Macaca mulatta: one gene and its partner. The protein of the gene in region 1 purifies or fractionates together with the protein of each later gene. This does not show direct contact. Links are inferred from orthologs where the notes say so. Each region holds a gene or a part of one and is shown on either strand. Other genes may lie near its edges. The genes, in order: PTPRO and DNAJB11.

What was found.
Region 2: the proteins of PTPRO (region 1) and DNAJB11 purify together in Homo sapiens (affinity purification with mass spectrometry; 3 studies listed by BioGRID and IntAct, with this or other methods). This does not show direct contact. The link is inferred for Macaca mulatta from reciprocal best matches to the Homo sapiens genes PTPRO and DNAJB11.

Annotation. Positions count from the first base shown.
Region 1 is NC_133416.1:17,948,388-17,959,504, reverse strand, and holds part of PTPRO (receptor-type tyrosine-protein phosphatase O), read right to left. Parts: intron 8,828-11,117; coding exon 8,669-8,827; intron 6,625-8,668; coding exon 6,472-6,624; intron 4,468-6,471; coding exon 4,024-4,467; intron 2,181-4,023; coding exon 2,019-2,180; intron 1-2,018.
Region 2 is NC_133407.1:98,739,418-98,751,033, reverse strand, and holds the start of DNAJB11 (dnaJ homolog subfamily B member 11), read right to left. Parts: upstream 7,628-11,616; 5' UTR 7,420-7,627; coding exon 7,352-7,419; intron 6,227-7,351; coding exon 6,070-6,226; intron 470-6,069; coding exon 372-469; intron 1-371. UniProt on the Homo sapiens protein: As a co-chaperone for HSPA5 it is required for proper folding, trafficking or degradation of proteins.

The DNA of each region.
Region 1 (11,117 bases):
ATTGGGTCATTGCAGGCTAAATGAAAATGGATTTTGTTATCAAATACTCCTGAGTTCTAATCTTAATTTTGACACTTGGGGAAGTCACTGAACTTTCTGCGATTCAGTTTGTTTTTTAATGTGAAAAATGGGGGTAATGAAAGTGTTCCCTTCATAAGGCTGCTGGCAGACTAGTACAAATTCCTACCTGAATTCTCATCTCTGGGAAGGCCTTCAAAGCTACATAAATGTAAATTATAATGCAACAACATAAACATATAATAAATTGTAATGTAACAGCTCAATACCAGAATATGTGAAACAGTTTGGTCAGGAAAAATGGGTTGCAAATATACTTTAGCTGGTGTGTGACTACATTATGCTGAGCAAACGTGAGCCACCCTAATTTGTTGCTCATTTACCCAGTTAGGTGTATTTATATATGTGGTATCCATTTTTTAAACCAAAGAAGTATATGCAGTACATCTGAATAACTCATTACCATAGAACAGAATCTCCTAAGCACTTAAAAAAGTCATTCTTTTAGCAACAGAGAAAAAACAAAACTTCTGGGAACCCGTATTTTTCTAGATAAATATTAAGATGCATCTCTTTAAAGTAATCACATTTTTGAGCAATTCCGACATGTCCTCAATGGCACTAGTCACTTTAGATACTCTAAGAATAGAGCAGAGCACATGAAAGATACAAGTGGTTCCATAAATATTTCTTGAATGTACAAGAGAATGAATAAATATGCAAACGGTATAACTCCAGCCTAGGATTTTACAATTTGACATGAGAAGCAAGATGCACCTAAAATAAATCTAGAAAAATACCACACACTAATAAGTTCTGTGTTTTGTGCTGTGTACTATGAGACGGAATAGGAATTCAGAGAAGAGAAGTCAGAAAGACCAGAATTGTCGCCGAGTTTCCGTGGAGGCTGTTCACATGGGCAGTGGATCTGTACTGGTGCAGAAAGACCATTTGTTCAGTGAGGCATTTTTAGTCTTATGGAAAGAATGAAATACTCAACTTTGTTCTCTTTCTTAAGTAATCACATGTCCAAGGTCTCTAATACTTGAAAGACACACAAGGCAGTTGGGAATACCTTTTCTATGCATCTGATAAATCTTTAAGGCCTTTCTTTTGCCAGAGGTGACATTTTTGGTTTTTCTTTTAGTAAAAATATTATATGGGATATTTTTAACATTTTTAAGCCGCTGCATAAACTGAGCTCCTCTTTTGCTCTCATCCATTCTTGAACGAAAGGTGGTATTTTGCCTTTCCAGATGGCAATAGGATATGTGGTGGTTATCCTTTTCTGAAAGCAATTTTTATTCTTTGCCTTCTGGTTTTTCTTTCTACTGATCAGAGGCACATTTAACTCCTGATAGGGTAGGTTACTGATTTTTGACCTCTATACTTCCAGTAAACATAGTCAGTTTAGCTAAACACGTTATAGAGGCTGGCACTGTTTGTGCAACCTTCAGAGGCTAGCTTTTGCTGTGCTGTGACCCTTATGGAATTGGTAGAGGCCACCCTAGGACTTGACATTGGGCTTTTAGGTTGCTCTAGCTATGGCTTTTTCCACCAATTTTATGGAGACCACCTGGGTGTACTTGAATCTTTGTCTTTCTTTTGAGCTTCGCAAGCTCAATACTCTAATGAGATTTTTCATAGTCCTATAATGTCATTTCCTTATGGCCTCAAGCAAATGTCGTATTTCCCAAACTGTATGTCCACATCCTTGGAGGGTTTGTTATGGCTAATGTGGAAGGTCAGTTTAATAAATGTTCAATTATCACAATAGTGAAAAGAATCCTCAAGTTAAACCCGTGGATAGGATTGCTACTATTAAATATGCATATATTTCCTCTGCTGTCCAAAGCTTGTGGATCTCAGCCTCTCCTGATCTTGAAGACTTCTCCGCATCTCTAAGGTTTGTGAATAGTTGACATCTGAGCATCAATAATCTCACCAGTTCCATTGTTCTAGCTCCCCAGTAAGTGTAAAGTGATCTCTTTGTTACTTACTGATATAAAAGCTGAGTGATTTTGCTGACTGACTTTTTCGAGTTTCACAAGATCCTGAGGAACTAAAGGTTGTCACAGATAACTTATATTTCCCAGGTTCCTTCAGTTCTGCAACAAATTCATGTGCTTCTTCATCCACCGTCAAATATTCAGTAAAGTTCTCTAAATCATATAAAAAAAAGAGAAGATATATGAATTGACGCCTGGAAAGGCCCTGGGTATAGACAAGTCAATTAATGAAAAAAAATAATTAGGTATTTTAAATGTTCCCTCCTTTTGTCAAGTTCAGTTACACCTCTAAACTAAAGGTACTATTAAAGAATATAAGTAAGAGTTCAATATTTTTACAACCTTCCAAATAACAAAACTCAAATATGGCATTCGAATCAATAAAACTAGGGATGGGTCTACACTGTGTATCTTTATGTACTCCTACCCAACAAAATTATGTTTACAAAACAGAAGTAGATAGTCAGGAAAAGATAACAATTATTGGCTTCCTCATCACGAGGTAAGGGCTAAAAAATAACCAGCATCAAATATCTTGTAAGTTCTTTGTGGTAGTATTAACCATTCAGAAGTGCTTTAACATTTATTTAAAATACATCTCATTTTTTAAGATATATTTTCTGATGTACCCCAGAATTTAAAGTAAAATTTAAAAATAATAATCATGGTAATATTTTTCCTTCATCCATTTGCTTTCAAATCTTCTTAAAGAATTATTTCACATTGCATCACAGTCCATCCATCCTCTGCTGCTTATTACTTCATTTGAAGTCATTATCATCAGTTGGTGACTACAACAGCCTTCAAAAGAAGACACTGTAGTCAGATAAATGCATAATAGAACCTTCATGAGAAGAGGCAGTAAAAAAATTTTGTAATGACAAGATCCTATTTGCCATAGGAACATATTTAGGAACAGAAAAATAAAAGACGATTAGGGAAACTTTAAAAAAATGTAGGCAATTCCAAGAAAATGACTTTTGACTCAAATAATTAAGAATTTTCATTTTATGTGTTATTTGGTTATGGTTGAATGCTGCATCATCTTGTATAGAAGAATCCACAGATTTTTGTTGTATCTCATGCTATTAAGTAAAATAGGAGTAAACAATATGTCAGTATATGAGACTACATGGGCCTTAAACTCTCACCCTAAAAATAAGGCTATCATCGTAACTTCAAATTTTTACAAATTATAACCTCTGCCACTCAAACTACTAGACCAGAAAATGGAAAATGAAGTATATTATTGTAAAAACTAAACAAACAACAAATAACCATAAAAATCTACCAAACAACAATTGAGATAGGTATCATGACCCAAACTTGTTGAAAGTCATGGCTCTACTTTCCTAAGTTAGTGGGCTATAAAGAATGAATCTCAGATGCTGAGTTAGTCAATGCAAAATGTAATATAGTAGCTATATGGAAATGTCAGTAGCTGTGTATTTTCCATGTTACTATCAGCTTCTCTTTGGAAAACTATGGTGCTTGTTCCAGAGGGACATACCCTAAAGGGAACAAGAGTAGCTGGTTAGCAGGACACAAGCCTCATATTCTTGAGGAAAGTAGTAATGTGTTCATAAGTATTACTTTGCTGCCATGTTTAAAAATTTGCATATGAGAAAACAGGAAATTTCTCTAGGATATGCTGTAATGTTCTGGGATAGTTAGATCTTTGATTCAAAATATTTCCAAATATGATGTTTTCCTAATTGTTCTGAGACATGAGAAATATCAGGCAGTAAAATATATACAGTTGGCAGTACTCACAACTTGTGAATCACCCAAACCTTCTGATTCTTACCCAGTCTATTCATTTGGATTTTCTGCTCTGTCTGCATTGGATACCCAATTACATTCTTCCCTTTCTTTACCATTATTCTCTGGAGATTTGAGTGTCTATGATCAGTGTTTCTAAACTCAAATTTAAAAACAGTTCAATTCCCCTTCCTTTGTATCAGTTCTTATTTCCTCTGATTTCCTACTGCTTTACCTTCTCGTTCAATATGGATATGGAAGCCATCAAAAGCAGTGGGTGGTTTGGGTGGTAACCAGGTCAATATCATTTGCACAGGGGAAAAGGAGAAAGAGCCTGATGTTGACTTCTCTGTCTCACTGAGTGTACTGTTATTTTCGTATTCCATGGGAAGTACGCTGACAAATTCATCTTCACTTTCAGGAGTTGCAGATGCACTGTCCCACCAATATGGCTGAGACGTAGTTTCATAGTCACTGCTATTAAAATCAGGCCAACCGGAAGAAGTGTTGCCCGAGGGAATTTCAGGGGTTTCTTCTGTAAAATGGAAGAGTTTTTCTTTTCCTATTGTATCTTGTGATCTCATGAAGGATTCCTCTGGGAAATTACCACTCTGTTCTTCCCAGTTGTTTTTGTTCAAGTTTACGATACGAACGGAAATATTCTGAGGTGGATAAGGGGCTGTAAGAGAGAGAATTTTCATTTTCAAGTAATTTTTAATTCAATTAGAGTGAATACTTAATCTCTTAATGAGTCAGGGACAAAAGCAGATTTTTAAAAATGGAATTTAATTTTACTTCTAATACACAGACAAATTTACGTCAAGACAAACTGCGTTTTTCTCCATATATATACTTCTAACATTTTGTGGATGATGTGTACCTGTTAACATACCACTAGTCACACTTCAAATATATTAACTTGCAATATTATGCTTGTTGAAGTGGTAATTTAACCACTTCTAAAAGCAGAGTATGTAAATATTTTTCAGTTTATCATAATCTCACTTACAAAAAAATGTATCTGTGTTCCTGGATTTTTATTACAAAGAAAAAACAAGTATAGTGTACTTATAGCTATGAAGATGAAAATACTCCATGTGACATAGTTGCACCTAGGAGAGTTGCATGCGTGTGCTGCCTTTAGAGATGTTAACACACATGTTAGAAATATGGCTTCACTCCTCACCTCTCTAAAATGAAACATATAAGCACAAAATGAGTTCATAAATTATGGAAGCACACTTACAGGGAGAAAACTACAAAGACACACTGCATAGTCTCTGCCTATAACAGTTTCTACTTGGCCTTCAAATAGCAGTTCAATTATCACCTCTTCCATGAATTTTTTTTTAATTTTTTTTTTTTTGAGGCGGAGTCTCGCTCTGTCACCCAGGCTGGAGTGCAATGGCGCGCGGTCTCGGCTCACTGCAACCTCCGCCTCCTGGGTTCAAGCGGTTCCCCTGCCTCAGGCTCCCGAGTAGCTGGGATTACAGGCACCAGACACCAAGCCTGGCTAATATTTGTATTTTTAGTAGAGACGGGGTTTCATCATGTTGGCTAGGCTGGCGTCAAACTCCTGACCTCGGGTGATCCACCCGCCTCAGCCTCCGAAAGTGCTGAGATTACAGGCATGAGCCACCGTGCTAGGCCCCATGAACTTCTAATAAAAATTTCTCTCTCCTTCGTGCTGTTAAATAACTTTGTACCTCTTTTATAATATTTATCTCATTCTGCCTTGTATTAGTGCCACTTGTGTATTACGAGTACCATTTTTTTGAGGACAAGGATCCCGTCTCATCAGTGTTTGTCTTCATGTCTCAGTACTTAGAACAAATTCCAGGTAGAAGGTGCTCAATTAATGTTTTTCTACTTACATTGAATAATGAAAAACATAAATAGAATCTTAAATGTTGACATCGGTGAATTAGTGATTTAGCTGAAATAGTTTCCTGGTCTTGGACTAATGAATAAGAATCATGATATCTTAGAATTTCAAATTGTCAAGACCTTAGAAGTAATCTATCATAATCCTTTCCTGATGCTCATCAGAATGGCCTCTCCAGCTTTCCTATTGAATATGCAGGCACATTGGGCCCATACGATGTTGCTTATATTGGTGATGGGTACTTAGTAGATATATGCTTATTTTACCCATTCATTCTTCCATCCGTACATCCATCCATCCATCCATCCATCCATCCATCCATCCATCCATCCATGCATCTATCCATCCATCCTACAATAGTGCTTTATATTAGTGGTGTTACTAAAATTAAGCACTTCAAGTTTGAGATACATTTGAATTTCAATATTTTCCTTTAATAATCTGATAAACTGTACTAGAATGTCTTCTAGTTTTTTCTGCCATAGGGCTACTTGTCAGTAATAACTGATGTCTACTAGATCTGGGTAAGTTTTACTTAATTATAACCTTTGGTAATAATATAGTAGTTTTTATTCAAAGATTACAAATCTATGATTGCATTGACATATTTTAGATTTTTCTTATTGAATGTTTTGCCCAGTTCTTTTTACATTGATATAAAATCTGTTTTAGGTTATTAAACATATGCATTTTCTTTCTTTGCTCTGGATCAGAATATTTCTTAGGATAAAAAATAAATATACAGCAAAATATAACTGAATTATTTTTTCACTGTATTTGATTCTTCAGGAGACTTACCAGTTCTGTGCTGTTTGGGTTCATGACTGACACCACTGTACTCAACAAGGGTACTTTTATTAAAAGTTGCCTCAGATACCAGCTGAAAGGTGATATTACTATAACACATTCCTGGCAGCCAGTGATTAAATACTGTTTTTCCCTTAAAGAAATCTGTGAAGAGAAAATCAATTACATGAAAAATATGGTCTTCTAAATGTCACACACTTCTGGAAAGTTTGAAACAATTATGGTTAAACATTCACAACATAATATTTCCTTCAACTACTGTTATGGTCAATAATAAAGAGTTAGTAGAAGGCTAGAGACAAAACGTTGAATGTTTAGACTCAATCCTGAAGGACTTTTTCTGACAAAATTCCTAAGGAAATCGAACACAGTTGGAGTTAACTTTTTATGATAGGAACTTTTGGGGTATGTATTAATTGAAGGAGATAATATAAAGAAATTGTAGACGTTAAGTTTACACTGGCCATTTACTTTAAAATAAAAATCCAAGGTATTTTGCCATCTTATGACCTGAAAAAAAGCAATTTTACAAGAAAAGTTTTCATTTAGAAAAACTAGCCTAATTTAAAACTGGTTTATTTGCCAGTTTGAAGACAGAACCTGCCCAAAAAAAGAAATAATAGAAGTTTGGACTCCACTTAGAAAACTTTAAAGAGAATAACAATAAACTAAAAATCCAATCCGACTCAAAAGAAATGAGAGAAAAAACTAAAAATACCACTTATTGAATTGAAATCTAAAAATAGTTTGAAGAAGTAATAAGACGTAATTGACTTAAGAATGGGATTATATTATTTTAAAATTTATGATTAACAAAAGTTTCAGTAATTGCTTTTTAATCATTCATAAATATATTTGCATATGATCTATAAACAACTTTCCATTTATTAATTTGCAGATTATTTGTTTTCATTGTAAATAAACAACATAATAATTTGTGGAATTTATGTTTCTTTGATTTTTTCAAAGTTTAAAAAAACTAAATTCACTGCGTATATTTCATTTATTCATTCATTCATTCATTCATTCATTTTGAGATGGAGCCTTGCTCTGTCGCCCAGGCTGGAGTGCAGTGGTGTGATCTCGGCTCACGGCAACCTCTGCCTCCCGGGTTCAAGCGATTCTTCTGTCTCAGCCCCTGAGTATCTGGGATTACAGGTGCCCGTCACAACGCCTGGCTAGTTTTTTTGGTATGTTTTAGTAGAGACAGTGTTTCACCATGTTGGCCAGGCTAGTCTCGAACTCCTGAACTCAAGTGATCTGCCCACCTCGGCCTCCCAAAGTGCTGGAATTACAGACGTGAGCCACCACTCCCAGCCCCACTGCTTATATTTTAAATAATGTCTCGGAAAAAATAAATCCATGGAAGAAATGAGTGTGTAAAAGAAGCAAGTCAAAGTGACATTTTTCTGGATGTCATGCTCTGTGTGCTTCAATACTCTTTCTCTTCCCACCAATACATGTTTCCAGTTACAGTTAGCCAACTCTGGTAGCATTACCTACCTCCCACCCCCACCCGGTATGTCCTGAGAGTATTCAAGTTCCTTCACTAGGATTCACTCCCAAATGAAACTGAATGCCCTCTCTTCCCTCTCCCTCTAGCCCCTTCTACCCAGAGAAGTTGATTTTGTTCCTTTGACTAATTGAAGTATTGCTTCTCCTGGGCTCTTTTCTCTCCCTTCCCCACAAGGTTCCCATCAAGTGAGTAAAAAAGCAAAACTAATTTTTGTATGTTAATGTGTTCATTTAGCTAGTCATACAGCATCGCATTTGAGGATGCTGGATCATACCCAAGTGAAACTTTGCAAAAGGCACCGCTCTGGCTTCCCAGTCTCGGAAATGCCCATCTACCATACCCAGAAGGAAATGGTTACTTGTGCTTCTAAACTTAAGTCTGAATTTATTTCCTGCACCAGGCATGCTGCCTTAGGGAAGAGTAGCATGTAAGTGATAATAATTTGAGTATTTCTCATGCTGTACACATGACACCTGACTCTCAAGAAATGAACCAGATGTTCTAGGTTTCCTCATAGCATGATTTTCATAAGTCAATAATTATTTTTAATGGCTCATTTATAGGTCAAATAGTGAATTATAAAACCTCGTTGTAGTAAGAAAGAACATCATTTGGGAAAAGCTGCTAAAAATTGAGGGTCATCATTGATTCAGCCTTCCTTTTGCTGCTTACCTTTATATAGCATTGTCCGGAAGTCTTTACCTTCCCAGTAGCTAATGTTCACTCTTGTGAAAACGTTATATTTTTCTGGGTAATGAATTTCAAACAGGACTCCTGTTTCAGGAGAAGGTTTATAGTCATATATGGAAACACTGGTTACAGGTAGAGGTTCTACAGAAGTGAAGTAAATGGAGAAAGGGAAAAGAAAGAGGAGAGAGAAAGACTGGTATCAATACTTGAACGAACCAAGGATTACACCTACCAGAAATTCACACATATTTTCACTGTCTGTGGGCACTATACTCCTCAGTACCCATGAATTGAATGTTCTTAGCAGTAATTAATATAGTACATTTTATATAATGCTTTCTGCTTTTTGAAGAACTTTTACATTTATTTTTCCTTTTGCAACAGTCCTGATATCTAGGAAGAGCAAATATTAATATATCCTTCCCACTGATAAATATAATGATGGCTCACAGACTAAATTACTTGTTCAAGGTAATTTAACAAGTACATGACAGTCTGTATCTTCAGATTCCCAGTTTATTTTTCTTTTTCTCATGCGAAGGAAATTTGATATTAGTAACAGACCAGTAACAGAAAATAAATTTTGGCTCAGATCGATGATAGTTATATGATCATTTATTTCTTCGTGTGAGCATAGCACTTATTTTTCCATATGAAGTATAAAATTTTAAACTGTCCAATGTTGTAAAAAATATATGTTGTGGTGTTTCTCAAACTACTTTTTCTATAGAAGTTTAAAGAAAACATTTCTATTTTGCTTGAGTTATTCATTCACTGGAAAACTTTAAAAATACTCATTTTAAAAAATCCATTATCAATATATGTCTGCATTTCTTCCCACTCCCACTGTCCTGCAAATTTCTTGTAAATAATGCATTTTGCACCTTTCTGAAGAAGCTATTAAACAGATTTTACTTGTATGAATTTTATTAGTAAGATATGTTAAATAATTTCGTTTGGGGTCACCTGTAATTCCAGCATTTTGGGAGGCCAAGGCGGGCAGATCACCTGAGGTTGGGAGTTTGAGACCAGCCTGACCAAACAGAGAAACCCCGTCTCTACTAAAAATACAAAATTAGCTGAGCGTGGGGACACGCGCCTATAATCCCAGCTACTTGGGAGGCTGAGGCAGGAGAATCAGTTGAACGTGGGAGGCAGAGGTTGCAGTGAGCAGAGATAGTGCCATTCCACTCCAGCTTGGGCAACAAGAGTGAAATCTCAAAAAAAAAAAAAATGAAGATAAATAAAATTTAAAAGCTGTTGGAACCCCAAAAATCACTTTAAGCATGCAAAAGATATAACTGTGATCTGAGTCACATATAGTTATAACTTCTGTTCTCGAATTACAGATTAACTCACTTTATTTTTCTTTTTCTGTACAATGACTAGAGGGAATTAAATAACGTCAGGGACAAAAATCTCCTGCCTTCTTAATTAATGACCCTTGTTGTAGATTAACTTCCCCTCTTTGTTGTCCCACTTTGCTTAGGCTGGATGACAGAAAACCTATAAATCACTATCACACTCTGTGTAAAAAAAATGTTAAATGTCCCCTTCCCCAAAAGAAACACTGCTTACAACCAATGAAATTTCTGTTAACCAGGTGTCAACTTTGTATGAATACTTTTTTGTAATCCTGATAAAAACTTCTCTGTCTCTGCCTATAAGAAATGAGATCCCAGTTGCACTACTTCAGAGCACTGACTGAATGCTTTTGGAGTTGGTGTTTCCAGGTGGTCTAGCCTCACACTTTGTGCTTGAAAAAACTCTCTTTAAATGAGATGCTGACCCTTTTGACAATTTTAGATTGACAGAAAAAAATTTTTTGATTCACAGTTTCAGAATTGAGAGGATTCTTGGACATCATCTATAGCCTGACCTAAAGAAATATCCTTAGTTTAAATTTACATTCAAAAAATTTCAATTTCAATAACATGAGAACTCCAAATTTGACTTAGTTCATTCAATAAATAACTATTGAGTATCTAGTATGTCTCAATCTGTAGCGGGATATGTTTTATTTTGTTGCTCAGGGTATTACTCTATCTTTGCTATTGACTTTAAGAAACCCAGAAATAATTGAAGCTACATGTTAATGCTTTGATTTTTCCTGGAATTTTCTGAAAAACGAAGCCAACATCTACAAAAAAGTTAGGAAGACCTTCAGACTCCAGTGTATTTTATGATCATGTCACTGTACCCTATGTGCTATAGTCTCTGGTTAAAAGGTATGAATTTTATCTTTGTCTCATCCCTAGTCTTCCTACATGCAGGTAACATTTCAGAATGAACTCACGTACTCACTTATGTACCATGTCAACCAACCAAGCAACCAACCAACCAATCAACCAACCCTCGAAGACTCTGTTTTGAGTTCAAAACTCCCAAAGAAGTTTTGAATTGCTTCAAGTTCTTTCTTTCGACCCAGCCT
Region 2 (11,616 bases), on another chromosome or scaffold:
GGGTATGGGAGTAGGAATTTTTCTATCTCTGCTAACAATAATTTTGCTCATTAAGTGGTTTGCAGATTCCAAGATAGCAAGTAGGCAAGGATGAACTGGTTTCCAACACAGGTCCCCACCACGAATTCTCAGCATTGATTTAACTGATATGGTTGGCTAGATGGAATGTCTTTTCAATGCCATCCATCTTTCCTGAAGGTTTGCGAAAATAGAAGACTATCTTCCCACAGGGAGGACAATAATTGATCTTTGGATCAGCTAACTTGTACTGTTCATCGAAAGCTTCTGAACTAGGGAATGAGAGGAATTCTTTAATCGCTAAGTGACCCTCTCTCAGACACTAACACATTGCAGATGGGTGAATTACTCACTGTGAAAAAATGTCTCCATGGGAGCTCTGATGGCCATCCTTTAATCCTTCTTCACCATAAGTATCGTACTGTTTCCGTTTCTCACTATCTGACAGAACCTGGGGATAAAAACCAGTGGAGAAAAAGATCACAAGCTGGTAATATCCAGTTAAGGCACAGTCATATTTATGTTTGTTTTTACTTTGACAATGGGTCTAAAATTCTAACAGAATGTAGTTTCCATTATGTACTGTATTAAGGCATATTTACAAAGTTATTTTCTCTAAGACTAAATTCTTTGATGCATTGTTCATTCCACATTGCTCAATTCATGTTTTTAAGTTAAAGTTGTCAAAACTCGCCTAGTCACTAAAAAATAATACCTGAGATTAGTAATGCAGCTGTGAAGGTCAGAGTGGTAACAGGAAAGAGGTAAGATGGATTCCTCAGGTTTACTTCCCATGCAGTTTGACTCTGGTGCTTATGCTGTTAACTACTATACTGCCTTCAAAACAACTTGGCCCCGCAGGTCTACAACACCCCCTACCCAACACACACACACACACACCCCCACACCCACACCCACACACAGAATTTCTGTCCCATAGGATCCCTGAGGTGTTGAAAGAAAGGACTCCAACAGCTCTTGGGTTCACCTGGGTATAACTCACTGTTTCAGTTCCAGTGCTTCAAAACAACTTGGCCCCACAGGTCTACAACACTCCCTACCCAACACACGCACACGCGCGCACACACACACACACACACACAGATGCACGTATTAGGAGATTGTCAAGTCAAGGAAATCAAATGACAGGCCCTCCAGAGAGGTCTATACTGATATCTTTTCCTCCTCCTTTTTTCATTTTTTGGTGTATGTAGAAATCCATTTGTGGAAGAATGCTGCCCGCCTTTTATACATATATATGTATAAAATAAGAATGGCAAAAGAACAATAAAGACATAATTCAATACAGTAGTTACCTGTGAAGGGAGGCAGGGTAATGGAACAGGGAAGTGGCATGTACGCAGATTAAGTCATGGTAATGTTTTACTTAGTTCTTAAGCTGGGTGATAAAACAATGACATCAGTGTATCATGAACCAAGGATTATAATTAATTCAATTTTGTGCATTTGATCACTCCCTCTTACCCTCAAAAAGACAGAGAAGGTACATATAAACCTCTTATTCTTAGTCAAAAGTACAAGTTCTGGGAGTATATGTAGATACGTAGAATGAAGCAAACACATACTTAAATGACTCAAATTCTAAAGCTGGAGAAGTAGAGACAGGAGTAAGAAAACAAGAGAACCGAAAAATAAAGTGTATGATATCAGCATTTCTAAGCCACAATTAAATGCTACTGAGTTAAAGTAGTTCATATAATGATTATCTTTTAAGAAATCCGAGCTGTATAAAGCATAACCCCTGAGGAACAATCACCGCCTTCAAAACCTGGTATGTGGCTACCATCCAATCCTCTGATTAACCTAATGAAAATGTCTCCTTATTTCAGAAAACTCAATCCAGGATTATTTCTGGAGCTATCTGCTCTTAATTTTCTTTTAAATATAAAAAATAAATTATGTTTCTTTATCCTTCACTGCTTCCTTCTGGGAGGTACCTCATTTTGATCTCCTAGCTTACTACTTCAGTCTTCAGCTATATCCATTCTAGTAACAACCCATCTGCTGTGTTTTAATTTCAACTCATATTTTTATGCATAATATTTCTACTTGATTCTTGCATTATTTCTTACTCTATATCATTTTACTAATGTCTTACCTCCTTAAGTATTATCATGCTTGTTTTAAGCTCTTGGTCTGTCTAATCTTTTTTTAGGCAAAGTACAATTGCTTAAAATATATGTGTTATTCAGTTTGTTGTCTTTTGTGGGGCAGATGATTGACCTTCTCAGGTATCTAGCTGTCTTGGCCTTTGAGCTGATATTCCCTTATGGATACCAGCAACTACCTTTCCCTGTAGAGCATCGTGGGCTGAGCCCTGGCCCACTGGTTTTAACTGTGTTTTGTTTGGTTTCTTGGGGTGTTTTTTGTTTTGTTTGCTGTCTGGAGTCTTTTTGTTCTCTGCAGTCAGGGGAAACAGTTCAAAACAGCCCTCTATCTGTGGGATTTTCTCTGGGAGTATATGAAGTATATGTATATGTGTATATCTATATATATACACACACACACATATATATACATGTTTAAGTTTGTAATGTCCTGAGTTTGAAATGCAGAGAAAGTAATAAGTGAAAATACTCTATGAAGGTTATTTAAGGTCAATTTCATTGCTTGAAATAATTCTTGAAGTTTTAAGTTTCAGTGAATTACATACACAATCATGACTAATGCTTCCTCTCTGTATAATATTAAAGAATGTAACAACAAAATAAGCTTCCATCCTTTTCGAAATTTGTCTTCAACATGCAAAAATTCTCTTTTATTTAGAGCAATCTGATATATATGCACATATATACTTGTGAAAATTAAATGGCTTTAAAATCTTCCTTTGATATTTATAAACTCCTACTTAGACAAGAGGCTGAAGGAGAGAGTTATTTCAAAACCATACTCACGGTGGCCCAGAAAAAGAGAGGTTCAAAGTAGATGGGGCTTGTTGACTTAAAAGAAAGGCATATTCACACAGTTTTGGCTTAGGGCCCAAATGAAGTGTTAGGAGTCATGGCAAAAAATGTATTAACATTTAAGATATCCTTGAAAGGATAAATAGAAATTGAATATACAAGAGAGTGAACATTCTTAAAAGCGAAGGCCAATGGGTTATTCCAGAAGTGACCACAGTACTTGATTAAAGCCACTATGATAGAAAAAGGGAGAGGAAAGAATGTTTTCACAAATATCTTTAGAAAATAGGTATTTTGGGGAAGCAGAAATGGGCACAGCTGACTTAAAAAAAAAAAAAACCCTTATTATTATCTGGATCTCCAATATTTTCACTTTTAGTCTACTTCTCTGATCTGATCTTGGAAAAGAAATGAACCCTGCATTTGAGACTATAAAAGACACCATTTCAAAACCCCCAAAGACTAGTTTTAAGTCAGTTTCTTTTTAGACATCAGAGGCTTCTGTAATAACCCCCTAAAAACTACTCATGAAGTCATTTATTATCATTCACTTCCTCCTCACTTTTCTTCCACCAAGGAATGCAATTTTATTCCATGGTCTTGGAAACTATTTTAAAAGAAAAAAGGTTTTTAGTTGATTGGCCAACCAATACACAGATTCTCAAGTAATTAAAATGCCAGCAGTAATCTTAGCTCTGTAGAGAAAACAAATTTGTATTCACAAAAGATTCTTCCTAACTGTACTCGGATTCTAATTTGCGAACACTAATTTACCTAAGACTAAAGGCAATCAAGCTTGAATGATAAAAAGAAAAAAGAAATTTAAACTAGTGGCTAAAAGGGTTGTTATAGTTAAATAAGCCATAATTTCATGATTGGCCTTTGTATAGTCTGCCTAGGTGATGGATAAAGAACATGAAGATTCTTTAGAGAGCATGGTAAATTCAGCTTCCCTAGAAAATGTTTTTGAGTATTGGGTTCCTAGCAAACAAGGGGAATATTCATGGAAAATACAGTACAAAATATGGAATCCATATTATCAACAAGAAACAAAATATTACATATAATTTAGGACAGGCCATCAGACTTCTGAAGTTTATTTATGTGCCTCCGGTTAAGAATTTCTGTCCCTTGGCCAGGCACGGTGGTTCATGCCTATAATACCAGCACTCTGGGAGGCTGAGGCAGTCGGATCAGGAGGTCAGGAGATCGAGACCATCCTGGCTAACACGGTGAAACCCTGTCTCTACTAAAAATACAAAAAATTAGCCAGGTGTGGTGGTGCATGCCTGTAGTCCCAGCTACTCGGGAGGCTGAGGCAGGAGAATGGCATAAATCCCAGGAGGCAGAGCTTGCAGTGAACGGAGATTGTGCCACTGCAGTCCAGCCTGGCAGACAGAGCGAGACTATGTCTTAAAAAAAAAAAAAAAAAAAAAAAGAGAGAATTTCTGTCCCATAGAATCCCTGAAGGTATTGAAAGAAAAAGGACCCCAACAACTCTTGGGTTCACCTGGGTATAACTCACTGTTTCAGTTCCATTGTTTCTTTTTTTTTTTTTTTTTTTTTTTGGAGACAGAGTCTCGCTCTGTTGCCCAGGCTGGAGTGCAGTGGCCGGATCTCAGCTCACTGCAAGCTCTGCCTCCCGGGTTTACGCCATTCTCCTGCCTCAGCCTCCCGAGTAGCTGGGACTGCAGGCGCCCGCCACCTCGCCCGGCTAGTTTTTTTGTATTTTTTAGTAGAGACGGGGTTTCACGGGGTTAGCCAGGATGGTCTCGATCTCCTGACCTCGTGATCCGCCCGTCTCGGCCTCCCAAAGTGCTGGGATTACAGGCTTGAGCCACCGCACCCGGCCTCCATTGTTTCTTTAATCTAAGAGATCTTGGGATTCCTTCCTTTCAAGGTTTATGTCTTCCTAAAATACTTTTCAATTTGTTTTTAGCCTTCTCAATATATAAGAATTTAAACTTAAATTCGGGAGTTTTAGCTCTATGACTTTTAGTTCAACTAATTTTTTTCTGTGTCCATTTAGAAAATGAGAATAAAAATATGCCTAGCTCTAATGTATTTCCTGGTGTCCTAGTGAAGGTTAAATGAGATGATACAAATGGAGAGTGTTTTGGTCCCCAGATTAGAGGTTGGAAAATCAAATTAAAACTGTGCTTTGTTTGATCTACGTAAAAAAGAAATTTAACTGAATTAGTTACCAACATTTTTACAAGCAGAACTTATATAAAAGTCTAGATTTTCAACTTTTCTGGAAAAATTAAATCATCTAGGAACATACTGTTTGCATTACTATGACAAAAACTGGCTAGGGTTGAGGTAACAGCTGCTCCCTTGAAATGGGGCCAGAAGGCTTCAATTTGTCAAAGCCCTCAACAATCCTTATTGCTTCCCAACATGGAGGCAGAATATCTGCTGTCATGTTTTAATTTATACCTGCCCTGCATGTTATTTGTCTAGTTCATATGAACATGTAGGTTTGCAACTCTCATGAAGGCTTTCTTTTTATTTTTGGTCTAGCTCCCGAACTGACTGACTGACAGACCAATCAATTGATCTACTTATTAATCTACCAATCTTTCATTTATTCTTTTGCAGCATTATTCTCCTTCTTAAAATAAATATTAATATCAAAAGGCAGAAAATGGTATCTACTAACATGAATGTAATATCTAGTACAATACAGTATCAAGTACTACTTTTACTTTCATCTACCATCTACTTTTAAATAAAAGTGACCTGGGCTGGGCGTGGTAGCTCACACCTGTAATCCCAACACTTTGAGAGGCCGAGGCGGGCGGGTCACTTGAGGTCAGGAGTTCGAGACCAGCCTGGCCAACATGGTGAAACCCTGTCTCTACTAAAAATACAAAAATTAACCAGGCGTGGTGACATGCACTTGTAATCCCAGCTACTCGGGAGGCTGAGGTGGGAGAAGTGCTTGAACCGTGGAGGCGGAGGTTGCAGTGAGCAGAGATTGCACCACTGCACTCCAGCCTAGGCAATAAAGTGAGACTCAGTCTCTAAATAAATATATGTGAGCTGAAAAGAGTATTTCTCTGTATTGTATATTTTTTCTAGAGCTACAGATCTTATTTGTTCTTTATCACTTTTCCTGACTCACCTCATAAGCAGCACCCAGATCCTGGAATTTCTCCTGGGCTTGTGGATCATCAGGGTTCCGGTCGGGATGAAGCTGTAGGGCTAGTTTCCTATAGGCCTTTTTAATATCCTTTATAGAGGCACTTCGAGGCACCCCCAAGATCTTATAGAAGTCTCGTCTGGGAAGTAGAGGGAGAGAATACTTCATCAGAGTTACATGTTACATTTTTAAAAGTAAAAGATTTATTTTTCCTCTACATTTAGGTTTGTATCTGAGCAAAGAGGTACGAAAGTGAACGTTTATGTGACACATATACACACAAAGAATGACTAAAAAGAGAACACCAGAATTTGTAATGAATCTTATATATTGAAGTAATTACAGTAAGAAGCTACATACTTCTTTTTAGATTATTCAAAACATCTGTGGCATCTTCTTTCAGAACCACCTTCAGTCAAGAAAACCACTTCCTTATTTTATGGTCTCATGTTATCTTTAGGCAATAACCATATAATCAAATTAACTCTTCCCCCCTTTCTCTACATTTGCTCCAAATGATTTTGACTTTTCTAAAAGTCAAATAACACTCTCAAGGGATGATTTTCCTTATTTAAAAAGATTATGCCACATAAATGTCCTAACAGTAGCATTGCCAGAATGTTAAAGACGAAGCAACTTAAGACAATAAATAGCTCAAGAAGCTGGGAAGCACAAGGGCTCTCCAAAGGGTCTTCTTGTTCCCCTCCCCATCCAATTTCCTTCAGTCCCAACTCGGCCTGGCATCATCCACCCACTTTAATGTCAGCCCCCCAATGGCTCTTCGCAGGCTTGGCATAGAGCATCGTCCGCTTCTCCAGCTCAGCGGGGCACAGCAACCCACCTCTTTGATCAAACAAACGTCCATCCCCCCAACCTCAGCCTAGCACTGTCACTACCTTTCCTTACAGTCAGGCATCCCTCTTTCTTCCCCCAGCTCTACGTGACAGTGCTCCAGCTCACAACCACCTTCTTTCCCTCATCCCCCAAATGCCGTTGGCAATGCATCCACCTCCCACTCCTCCGGGCAAATCTAGCTCTACCAAAGACCTTCTCTGGACCTAACGCCTTCTCACTGGTGTCACCTACGGTTCGCTTCTCACCCCACTAGTCTGGCCCATACTACCCCTTCCTCCGCCACCCCGCCAACCCACAGCGATGCCCCTCTCCACTCCCTCAGTCTGCAATACCACTTCCCCCACCCCCTCCCACCCCCTAGCAAAGGCTGACCCCCGGGCCCCGCTGTCTGCGAGTGTCTATTCCTCACCCGGCAATCACGGCCCCGATGAGGTACAGTAGCAACAGGCAAAAGGTGCTCAGGTTCTGCGGAGCCATGGTTCCTCTGTCCCGGGTCTTGTCCCACACACTCCTCACAGCCTCCTCCGCCGCCGCGTCGGCTCGCCAGCCCACCCAGCGCTGTGAGGCGCCTCACACCGGTGGGCGGGGGGGTCTCCTCCTTGGTCCGCAGAGACAGCTAGCTAGCCCCCTCCTTTTCCAGTCCACTTCCCGGGAGTCCCAAGTCCCGGTGAGAGAAGACCCCGGTAAGCGAGAGCCAATCGTTGCCCGGGACATCACACGCGGCCGGCGCCTGAAAGCCAATCAGCGCAGTACACTTCACCTCCGAGGCGGCACGCGTAGCCAGTTAGGCTTCAGAACTGCAGTCGCAGATCTTGACCAATTAGAAGAGGAGACGTCAGAGGGTCGCGCCGCTGCAGGAACCCGCTCTGCCCGAGCTACCCCGAGTCGTAGAAAATTACGTAATGGTAGGGGGCTGGTCCGAGTAAGGGCACCTGAGGTACACGAAATCCTCCTCGACTCACCCACTTCCTCGAACTTTCCACCAATCAGGAGGCTCCTCCCCAGCACCAACCAATTGTGGGAGAGAAGTTTTCTCTGTGTTTCAAGTTTGGAATTTCATTCATACCCAGCTACGCGCCGAATGCGGGAGCAGAATGAGGGAACAGCGGCAGAATGAGCGGGGACGGTTATTCCTCAACTGTACATCGGACGCATTGCTTAGGACTCTTATTTTACGTTCTCCAAGCAACTCCATAAGTCTCGGAAAGGCGACAGTGATGATTGACCGACTTAAGTGCGGATTCGGCTTGCACCGCTTCTCAGTGGTGAGACTCCTTACTCCTTCCCTCCTCCTAAGTCTGAGCCTAAGTTTCTTTATCAACAAAACTAAGGCAAAGCACTTATTGGCAGTTCTGTGAATTTTAACAGGGAAAAAAAATCTGTAAATCGCCTGGCGTATAGTAAGCAGGCAATGAATAAAAACCATTATTACTGTTCGAGCATAAGTCTTTGATTCCCCGTCTTCCCCCCCGATTTTGCTCATCACAGTTACACAACACCTAGTTGATCAGGACAAAGCTCTAGGTGTTTTTACTCCTTTCATATATAAGCTATCCAAATCTTTACCTCTGAACTATACTTGAATCTGTTCACTACATCTCCATTACTAGGTCTCTGGATCACAGTGTATCTCTCACCTGGCCAGGGCCTCCTAACTGGCCTCCTTGTCTCCACTCTTAATATCTTCCTTAATACCTTCATATATGTTGCTCATCCCTGTCCCTCACTCCTTTTTTTTTTTTTTTTTTTTTTTAAGGGCCGGGCGCGGTGGCTCACGCCTGTAATCCCAGCACTTTGGGAGGCCGAGATGGGCGGATCACCTGAGGTCAGGAGCTTGAGACCAGCCTGGCCAACATGGTGAAACCCCGTCTCTACTAAAACTACAAAAATTAGCAGGGTGTGGTGGCGAGCGCCTGTAATCCCAGCTACTCGGGAGGCTGAGGCAGGAGAATTGCTTGAACCTGGGAGGTGGAGGTTGCAATGACCTGAGTTCCTGCCACTGCACTCCATCCTGGGCGACAGAGTGAGACTCCATTTCAAAAAAAAATAAATACATAAAAAATAAAAGTCAAATCATGTCACTCCCCTGTTTAAAAGCCTGGAATGGCTCTTCATTTGCACTTAGAATAAAATCCCAGCTCTATGCTAGTTTACAAAGCCGTTTATGCTTTGTCCTCTCACCTATTATGCTCCTAACCATGTTCCAGCAAAACTTGCTTCCTTTCTTTTTTGTATACACCAAGCACATTCCTGCCGAAGGCCTTTGTGTTAGCTGTTCCCTTTGCCTGAAACGCTGTACTCTCCCTCATGTCTTACCATGGGTGATTCCTTCTTTAACTCATGTATCAGCTTAAAGGTCACCACCTCAGAGAAGACTTCCCTGACCAATCAATCAAAATTAGCCCCTACTGAGCTCTTACTCTTACACCACCCTGTTTTCTTTTTTCTTTTTTTTTTTCTTCCTGAGACAGAGTCTTGCTCTGTTGCCCAGGCTGGAGTGCAGTGGCGCAATCTCGGCTCACTGTAACCTCCGCCTCCCGGGTTCAAGCGATTCTCCTGCCTCAGCCTTCCGAGTAGCTGGGACTCCAGACGCACACCACCGTGTACGTCTAATTTTTTTGCATATTTAGTAGAGACTGGGTTTAACCATGTTGGCCAGGCTGGTCTTGAACTCCTGACCTCAAGTGATCCAACTGCCTCAGCCTCCCAAATTGCTGGGATTATAGGCATGAGCCACCGCGCCCGGCCTCCTATTTTATTTTCTCATCCCTGGTCCCTAGACTGCACACACTGTAATGCCAGTTTCATGAGAGCATGAATCTATATTGTTCTGTTCACAGCTGTATAAGACAGCACCTTAGAACAGTGCCTGGCATGGAGTAGGTGCTGAAGTATTTTTGAGTAAAAGTTACTTGGATGGTGATCATTGCATGGCTGGCTTCTTATTCTTCAGGCCTCGGCTCAAATTTGGCACTACAACGTGGCCTTCCCTGACCCCCCTCCCCCAATTTTCATAGCATTTACCGCTATCTGAAATTATCTCATTTTACTCCTTAATATGTATTGTCTATTCTCCCTGTTACACACTCCAAGAAAGCAAGGACCTTGTCTATTTTGTTCACTCCTGTCATTCTAGTATCTACCACTGTGCCAGACACACAGTGGTACTCAACAAATAACAGCAAGGTCACTGAGCTAGTAAGTGGCGCAGCCTGGATCCTAACCCAGGTCTGTGTAAATTTGAAGCCCCTGCTTTCAGGAAGATACCCAGTAGGGACAATGGAGGAACTAAAAAACAAAAGAGGAACTAAATTGCATTTTATGGTCTAAATTACCTTTGTATATTTAGGTGTGTACCTAAGTAGGCCATAAACGAACTAAAAAAAGAAGGAAACTTTCAGAAATCCTGAAATGGAAGTTTAAAGAAAGGAGTGATGGCTTCTGCCCGGCAATCTGAAAAAGCTTCATGAAAGTGGAACACGGAGGAAAAGCTAACAGAGATAAGGAGTTGACACTGAGGGGCTGTAGGGAGTGCCAGTCTCGCTTCAGACGCCCTGGGTTTGAATCTTGGCTCCATCTCTTGTGTGACTTTAGGGTTCTGTTACTTTCACCTTTCTACGCCCTAGTTTCTTCATCAGTAAAACTAATGTACTTAAAGGGCTCTTGAGAACACTGAGGAAATATAAAGTTGCTTTACACAGTGCTGAGACCATAGTAAGCGCTCTATAAATGCAAACTGCCATTAGTAGTATTTCTGATGAAAGCGTGCTGATCTTACCAGCAGCTATTGGCTGACCACAGTTATGTGGAGCAACAGAAAGCTTCCTACTCCCCCTGGGTTGAAAGGTGCAACACCAGAAAGTGGTGTGTCTGGCTCCTGGTGCCACCGTCGCGGACTCTCGGTCCCAGCCCGGATTTTCTCAGGCGCTTAAACCTCAATCTGCCGCTCTAGCAATGGGGTCCGCCAGTTCTCAGTGGTGCGGGGCCTCGCGCTTGCGCAGTGGGCACGGCGGCGGCGGCGCGCGGGAGGGGCGGGCCCAGCGAGCGGACGCGGGTTGCGGCGGCGCGCGGAGAAGTGCGGCGGAGCGGCGCCTGCCTTAGCAGGTAATCGCGCACGGGCTGGCGCCGGGGAGGGAGGTGTGGGTCAGTCAGGCTGCAGGCTTGGGCCGAGGAGGCTGCCTTCGCGCTCGCCGCGTCTCGGGTCAGCTACCGACTCTGTCAGTGTGGGTGTCTGTGTTCCTGAAGTCTCGTCGCGACGCTGGGGCGGCCCACGCAGAGTCCCACCCGGGATCAAGTCCAGGGTGGCAGCGAAGCCCCAGTACAACTGCCTTAGACCCACACCGATCTTCCGACCTGAAAATCCTTAACCCCAGCGCACCGCCAGGGTCAGAACCCATGTTTGTGTTTGTTTACGGGTTGAGCCCTCTCGACTCTCGGAGTTAGAATGGAGGGCTCATTCCTGGGATCTGGCTGTTGACAGGGGCTCAGTACCTCACAGAGCAGCCTCTTTACGTTTTGGAGAGAACCGAGGTCTTCCTCGCCTAACTTTTATCGTCTGGTTTTACTCAAAACGACGCCAGTCTCTCCACATTGGAAGACAGCTGCCTTTTGCCCTTCCACGCCCATCTTTTGAGTTTACACTCTCTGATTCTTTCACCTGGCGTCCTGTCTAAG